2 linked regions of the Lonchura striata genome follow. The protein of the gene in region 2 binds, or shares a complex with, the protein of the main gene of each other region. Links are inferred from orthologs where the notes say so. Each region holds a gene or a part of one and is shown on either strand. Other genes may lie near its edges.

Region 1 (3,907 bases), on a different chromosome or scaffold from region 2:
AAGTGAATTCAGGATTTTTATCTTCCCATACATCTTTGGTAAGAGCTCCATGTGTACAATGTACTCAGCATGCAGAGTCACCACGGCAGCAATGTAGTGTAATGCCCCCAGTTCCATGTAAAACTTATATTCTTGAAAAGAGAAAACAATTAAGGAAAAAAAAAAAAAGGAAAAATAAAAGCCATTTTCTTCTGGTTTTGTAGCATACATTCCTAGAATTCCCCAACGGAGTTTTAACTCCTTGAGGAAATCTGAAGTTAATCCTTAAGGCTGAATAAGAACCAGCTGCTTTAACAGTTTGTGCACCCAGCGTTAATTAATACTTGATTGAGTTTTTATGCAAATACTCGCTCCGGGTGGGGTTTTTGATTGGCCAGTCCCAGCTACAGGCTGTGACATGGCTAACGAGCTGCTTTGCCCTTTAAGAACTAATTATGGAAGTTTACATTCAGCGTCGATTCTCTCTCTCTCTCCCCTCCCCGCTCTCATTAGCAGTTCCTCAATGGGCCTCAGACATCCAACATAGTTCCCTTTCCTACAGGACTCCAGCAGCCCCGGGCCACAGGGAGGAGGCTCCAGCCACTCGCAGGAGCTCAGTCCAGGCTTGGAAAACCAAAGCAAGCAGTGATTTCCTCAAAATGGCCATTCCTGATGTCAGAAACGCCGGGCGCGAGCAGAGCTCGGCTCGGAACTCGCCGCCCTCGCAAGGCTCCAGCATGGAAAAAGAACAATAATAACAATAAATAACAATTTCCTCCTGCCTGTTGGAAAGAAACAGGAATCCCTTCAAGGTTTTGGTGTCTCCAGCTGCCTTGAGATGGAAGCGAGAGGCAAGTCAGAGCTGGACTTTTGCCAAAACATCTGATTTAAACTCAAACTCATTGCAACATTTTATTGCTGCATCTGCTGGAAAGGGCCTCGGCCCGAGGACCGACACCAAGGAGTAAAAAACTGCAACTAAACCTCATTTAGGACAAAAAAACCTGCCCAGTGCCTGCCCTGGAACTACAGCATCGCTCATGCCTGCTTTGCTAGGTGGTGTGGGGAGCTGGTTTTGCATCCCTCCTCATTCATGATGTATGGGTCAGAACTTCCCAGCTGACATTCCAAAGCAGATCTTACATTTCCCAGCGCCCGACACGCACTTTGAACACGTTACAGTGGAATTCCCACTCTCTGCCACTGCAGGCAAGAATTCCCCTCGTTAGCCTGAGCCGTGGGGCCAGACTGAGTCACTGTTTAGTTACAGATTAACAGAACTTTTTTTTTTTTTTAAAAAAAAAAAAAGTCCTTAATATAAAAAGACAGACTGCAGTTTGATTTTAAGCAACAATTTTCAGTTTACTAGATGAAGTCGACCTAGCAACATATCCTGCAAGAATGCAAAAAAGTAGCAATCTACAGCAAAGTGAGAGAAGAGAGAGAAAAAAAATATATATATAATCAAAAAAGTAGACCCAGGAAGCATACACTGAAAATGGACCCCCTCCCCCAACATCCCCCAAAATAATCAAACCAGCAAAGGGCTAACAAGAGGAAAAAGGAAAAAAAAAACCAACAAAAAAAAAAGTTACTTAGCAAGTCTATAATGTGTCCTTCCCCTGTTTGCTGGAAGTCTGCCATAGCATCTAGTGCCTGTGTTCGTGTCACATTCGGAGGTTAGAGCATCCTAACGCCAAGCAGGAGGAGTTAGAACAGGAATCCAGCCAAGGGTGCAGGAGGAAAGGGTGGCAACTGGAGAAAGGTGATCATAATCCTATGGATGCGGTTTTGTTTTACTTTCAGTAGAGAATCATTCTTCTGGAAAGCCACGTGGGTTATTTAATTTTTTTTTTTGTTTCTTTTTTTGTTTGTTTGTTTAAATTTTTTTTTGTTTTGTTTCTTTAATTCTTTGTAGACTAAATAGTTCCTCTCCCATTAGGATTTATAATTGGACGTTAACCACGTCAGCCCTTCGTAGAGTCCATCCCCCGTCGTGGCACAGGAGGGCTGCACATACCAATTCCTATCCCTGATCCGGGTCAGGCCCAGTTTCTCCTGGATCTCGTGGGGTTTCATGGCGTCGGGCAGGTCCTGCTTGTTGGCGAAGATGAGGATGATGGCGTCCCGCATCTCCCGGTCGTTGATGATGCGGTGCAGCTCCTGCCGCGCCTCGTCGATGCGGTCGCGGTCGGCGCAGTCCACCACGAAGATGAGCCCCTGCGTGCCCGTGTAGTAGTGCCGCCACAGGGGCCGGATCTTGTCCTGGCCGCCCACGTCCCACACGTTGAACTTGACGTTCTTGTAGGTGACGGTCTCCACGTTGAAGCCCACGGTGGGGATGGTGGTCACCGACTGGCCCAGCTTCAGCTTGTACAGGATCGTGGTCTTGCCGGCCGCGTCCAGCCCCAGCATCAGGATCCGCATCTCCTTGTTCCCGAAGATCTTGGACAGCACCTTGCCCATCTCGGCGGCATCCAAGGGAGGGCGAGAGGGCGAGCGCCGGCCCGGCGGGGAAGGGCGGGCGGGGCTCAGCGCGGGCCGCGCATGGGGCGGCGGGGAGGCGGCTCCGCTGCTCCGCCGGGCCCGCGGCGGCGGCTCCGCCCGCTGCTGCCTCGGCTCCCGCCGCGGCGCCTCAGCTCATGGGTACCGGCGGGAGGATCCCGCGGGCCGGGCAGCGCCGGGAGCGGCCGCGATGGCCCCGGGAGCGTCCCGGGAGCGCCCGGCCGTACCTGAGGGCCCCGCGCGCCGCCGCCTCCGCCCGCGCCGCCGGAAAGGGGCCGCGCGCGCCCGCGCCCGCTTCCGCCCCGCCGCCGCCCCGCGCATGCGCCCGCGCGGGCCCCGCCACGCCCGCGCCCCTCCTTCCGCCCGCGCCTTCCCGCCCGCCCCGCGCGCCTGCGCCGCCGCCGCCGCCCCGCCCCCGAGGGGGGGGCTCCGCGGGAGGGGGGGCGTGGCCTCGCCGCTGATTGGGCGGGGCGCGGCGGCGCGCGGAGGGGGCGGGGCCGCGGTGGGGAGAGGCGCCACGCGATCGCGCGTCAGCGCGGGGCGCGCGCGGGGCGCGCCTTAAAGGGGCAGCACCCGGCGGGACGGAGCGGCACCGGTACCGAGCCCCGTACCGAGCCCGGTACCGAGCGGGCCGTGCAGCCTGCCCCGCACCGGCGCTGCGTGCAGCGAGGGCGGGAAGCCCCGGCACCGCTGCCCCGAGAGGCTGCGGCTGCCCCTTGTCCCTGGCAGTGCCCGAGGCGGGCTGGGCACTGGGCCGGGAGCAGCCCGGGACAGCGGGAGGTGCCCGTGCCCTGCCCCGGGCCGGGCCGGGCCGGGCTGGGAGGTCCGTTCCAGCCCGAGCCTGCGGTGATTCAGTGCCGCGTCATCGGGTTTATGACTCCGCGCTGTCCTGGGTCACCGCCAGCGATCCCGGTGGGCGGAACTCCCCGGCTCAGCGCCCGGGGCAGCGGGCAGCGCTCGGGGCACGGCCCCGCCCTGGTCCCGAGCCGTGCCCGGCACGCCCAGCGCGGGGAGCCGCAGCTCTGCACGCACACGGCGCGCCCGGGGCCGTGCCGGGACACCGGGACACGGGAGCGGGGCCAGGGACACGGGCACGGCCCGGCTCCCACCGCTCCTGTGAGAGCCGGCCTGCGCTGGGGGATGCTCCCGAGCTCGGGGGGTGGATGGGGGAAGCAGCGCCTGGAACACAAATCCCACGAAATCGTGGAATCACGGGCTGGTGTGGGTTGGAAGGGACCTTACAGCCCATCTCCTTCCACCCCGGACGGGACACTGGCATCCCACCGGGATGCACTTGGTCGCCCTGGGGTCTCCTGCTGGAGGGCACAGTCTGCATTCCCTTGGGATCGTGTAGGATTGACTTCACCCATCTTCCCCTTCCCCTCCAAAACACCGAGCTGGGAGCTGATTTCTCCGGCTGATG
Region 2 (3,907 bases):
GTCCTTCAGCAATGTGTATTGCAACAATAACAGATTCTCAGCCAATGGCAAGTTCTTCTTGGAGCAGGAAGGAAAAAAAATCACCTAAAAAGCCAGTTCAGATGGACATGGAGGACAGAAAAACACATCAAAATGAAAACAACCTGATAGCCATAAAATAGAGTGAAAGTTTTCTGTAAAATGCATCTCGGTTCTGTTCTCTCAAATTAAAAATACTTAAACTCTTACTGCACAGTGTTTACTCAACATAAGATTCTAAAGAAAGTTACCTCTGGGAACAGCAGAAAAAGCAGACCTCAAGTTTATGCTACGACTTAAACCAGTTTTAGTAGTGGTAAATCCTTTTTCACAGTTGCCAAAGATTTCAAAAACAGCTTAATCCCACCAACAGCAGAAAAGCTAAAAGATATCCCAATTTGGCATAGCTAAATGGAGTAGATTTTTATCCTCTTCCCAAGTGCACACAAAACACATGCCAGCTACAAGTGCAGGTCTGAAACAGCACATTGCTGCAGAAGTAACTCTTATCAGGGTATACAATAGCAAAAGCACAAATGCTGGTTCCTCTTCCACTTCTTTGGGGCAGGCCTCACAGACTACCTCAGAGTCACCAAGTGGAGAACAGCAGAGCAGCTGGTTCCTCCATTCCTTCAGCGATATCAAAAAACCTACCAAATTAAAAGGCAGACAAGTAATTTTGCAGCAACTACAAAGATCAAAACTGTACCCAGAGGGTTGAGAAGTAGGCCCAGAACTTCTGTCAAGGTGATGGTAAAAAAAATTATTCCAGAAATCCACAGGCATCAACTTTTAAGATATTTTTAGTAACACTTTTTAAGCACAGGAAATAAAGAAAGCAAATTACAAAAATGGGGTAAGGAGACACCTACCCAAATAGTAAACTATTTAATGTGCATTAAGGTACTGCCACAAGTAAATTTCCTACAACAACAAGCAGAAAGTAGAAGAAGGTGTGTTAATTGCCCAGAGAAGCTGTGGTTGCTTCATCCCTGGATGTGCTTAAGGGTAGGCTGGACAGGGCTTGGAGCAGCCTGGTGTTGCAACAGTGTCCCTGCCCGTGACACAAACTTTAAGATCCCTTCCAACCCAAATCATTCATTGTGTGATTCTATGAACAGGTGACATTAAACATGGAGCTCAAAATTCTCAATTTTGCCACCACATGACACAGGCAAACCCCAAACAAAAGAAATGTGCTAAGCCAATAACTTTTTGTCCAATGAAATATTGTTAAATTTCTGTTCCCTCCTTTTATTTCAATCACATTGAAATCACATCAGGTTATCTCAGCATCAAAAAAATAATTCAACAACCATGCCTAACACATATGCCTCTCCTGAATACATCAGGCTGTACCAAACACTTCCACACCTGTACAGTGCAATGACCTCAGCACATCACAAAAATGACCTTTGTGCTTACCATGAAAATACAGTCTTTGGTCTAACTGCACTTTGGAAAGCATCAGCCAGGTGTCTTGCAGTATGAATGCTGGTTCTTCAACTGCACATAGCCTGTTCTCTCAAGTTAATTTATCATGACACAGAGAAATGAAGATGGCACTGAAGCACAAAACAAATACAGGCACATACAGTTCCTGAAAAGCTACAACAACAAACTTAACCCTATGATCTGTATCCTCACATAGGTACGGCTTCTGTCCTGCTGCCCAAGATCTGTTTCTGATCTTAGAAATGCTGCCTGCGCTTCAAGCCTGATGGATTTTCTCATTAATTAGTTCAGAAAGTATTTATCAATCCCTTCCTATTACTCTCAATGCAAACATATTTTCTAAAAGACCCTTTTACATTGTGCTAGAAATAGTGTGGCAACTCCAGTCCCCTAACTGGAGTCTATATGGCATCATAAAACCACCATGTGTTTGACAAGGAGGATGAATGACCTATCAGTCCAGGAGCTGGACCACAGTCCTTCACAACAAATGGAGTCCTGGAATAATCTGCAGACAACATTTTGCACTCACTTAGAAACAAACAAGTATTTAAACAGGGCTAATGTTTTTTAAATTAAGCTTTCACCGTTAATATTGTGTTCACCCTCAGTGCGGTTGTTCTTCTGATTTTTGGAAAATTTAGAAGGCAAACACAACCAGAGAGATTAGCACAGGACAAGGGGTCTGGAAATACACTTGTAAGATGGCTTGTTAATGTTAAACAGATAATGCTGCCAATCCAATTTCCTTCAGGAGTTTGGCAAGACAATGAGCAGGAGGAAGTTATCCTGCACAGCTGCTTCCCATTCTATTGCTTTATAATATCACATTAGATAATGCCTCACAAGCTTGCTTATGCTGAAGTGATTCTTGGTACCGACACTGAAATAAAAACATCTAACATCCAAAATCAGAGTCGACGTCACCGGAGAGTCCACACCACCTGTTGCTGCCTGCAGCTTTAAGCAGCAGCTCCGAGAGCTTCAGCCTAGACACTGCGTATTCCCATGGTTTTTGCGACGTGGTGTCACTATTTCCGCAGAAATGGACAACCCGCCTCCCTCCGCGGCCGTGACAGCGCAACCAGCGCCCGGTTCCGCGCTCGCTCCGCGGCCCCGGCGGCAGCGCAGCGGCTCCCGGGGATCCCTCCGGGACGAGCGGCTCAGGGGATGGCAAGCACACGGAGCCGCACGGAGCGGGAGGGATTCCTCCCTCCTCATCCTTCTGCGAGCCGCGTCTGGAGCCCAGCTCCAGCAGCCCGGGGCTGGCCGCCCGCTGCGCCCCGGGCAGGCCCGGGAGGTGCCGCCCGGCCCGGCGCCGCGCTCACCTCCTCGGCCTGTTTGCGCAGCGCCTTCTCCCGCTCGTACTGCGTGAGCAGCTGCTCGTTATCGTCCCGCAGCAGCTCCAGCTCCACGCTGGTCTCCTGGCTGTGCGCGCACACCGAGTCCAGGTTCTCCAACACGGCCACCACCAGCGGCATCAGCTCGGCCACCACCTCCTCGTCGTAGCGCCCGATGAGCCGCTCGAACTCGCGGTAGATGGAGCCCGCCAGCCCCGACACCCGCTCCGACATCATGGCGGGGCCGGGCCCGCCGGGATCCTCCTGGTACACCACGCCGTCCGCCAGCTCCATGGCGGCGGGGGTTGTGCGGGGCCTGGCGGGGCCCGGCTCGGAGCGGCGCCCGGCGGCGGAGCCTCGGCAGGGCCGGGCGGGAGCGGCGCGCGCCTCTGACCTCACCCGCCGCGCCGGGCGGGGCTGCCGGGACGGCGGGCGGGGCGGGGCGGGCGGGGCGGGCGCGGTGACGTCACGGGACGACAGGTGATGTCACGGGGCGGGCCCGCGTGAGGGGGCGGGCCCGCGTGAGGGGGCGGGCCCGCGTGAGGGGGCGGGCCCGCGTGAGGGGGCGGGCCCGCGTGAGGGGGCGGGCCCGCGTGAGGGGGCGGGCCCGCGTGAGGGGGCGGGGCCGCGGCTGCGTGTGGGGAAGATGCGGGCGGCGGGAAGGGCTGCGCTGTGGGAGGCGCGTTAGGGGTCACCCAATCCCGGCAAATCACCCAATCCCGGCAAATCACCCAATCCCGGCAAATCACCGAATCGTCGGGATTGGAAGAGACCTTTAAAAGGGCAACAAGGCTAGGGAAGGGTTTGGAGCCCGCTTCCCGCGAGGAGCGGCTGAGGGAGCTGTGGGCAGCTCAGCCGAGAGAAAAAGGCTCAGGGCACATCTTATCCCTCTCTGCAGCTCCTCCTGTCAGGAGGGTGCAGCAGCTGAGGCCGGGCTCTGCTCTGAACCAGGGAGCGAGGACACAGCCCTAAGCTGTGCCAGGCCAGTTCAGGTTGGACATTAGGAAGAAATTCTTCACAGAATGAGTGATTGTGCATTAGAATGGGTCCCACAGGGAGGTGTTGAAGAAAAGACTGGCTGACAATCTGGCTGA

The links.
Region 1: the proteins of SPAG9 (region 2) and ARF6 are in contact, whole or in part, in a crystal structure (PDB 2W83), measured with the Homo sapiens proteins. The link is inferred for Lonchura striata from reciprocal best matches to the Homo sapiens genes SPAG9 and ARF6. Residues at the interface, in NP_001124000.1 of Homo sapiens: Lys431, Asn432, Ile435, Val438, Asp439, Thr442, Cys443, Asp446, Val447, Gln449; in NP_001654.1 of Homo sapiens: Glu13, Arg15, Lys34, Phe47, Val49, Glu50, Thr51, Thr53, Lys58, Asn60, Trp62, His76, Tyr77, Thr79.

What each region holds. Positions count from the first base shown.
Region 1 is NC_134608.1:1,969,697-1,973,603, reverse strand, and holds the start of ARF6 (ADP-ribosylation factor 6), read right to left. Parts: upstream 2,528-3,907; 5' UTR 2,446-2,527; coding exon 1,918-2,445; 3' UTR 1-1,917. UniProt on the Homo sapiens protein: GTP-binding protein involved in protein trafficking that regulates endocytic recycling and cytoskeleton remodeling. GTP-bound form plays an important role in the transport of multiple palmitoylated proteins form the Golgi to the plasma membrane.
Region 2 is NC_134621.1:6,224,514-6,228,420, forward strand, and holds the start of SPAG9 (C-Jun-amino-terminal kinase-interacting protein 4), read right to left. Parts: upstream 3,183-3,907; 5' UTR 3,108-3,182; coding exon 2,802-3,107; intron 1-2,801. UniProt on the Homo sapiens protein: The JNK-interacting protein (JIP) group of scaffold proteins selectively mediates JNK signaling by aggregating specific components of the MAPK cascade to form a functional JNK signaling module.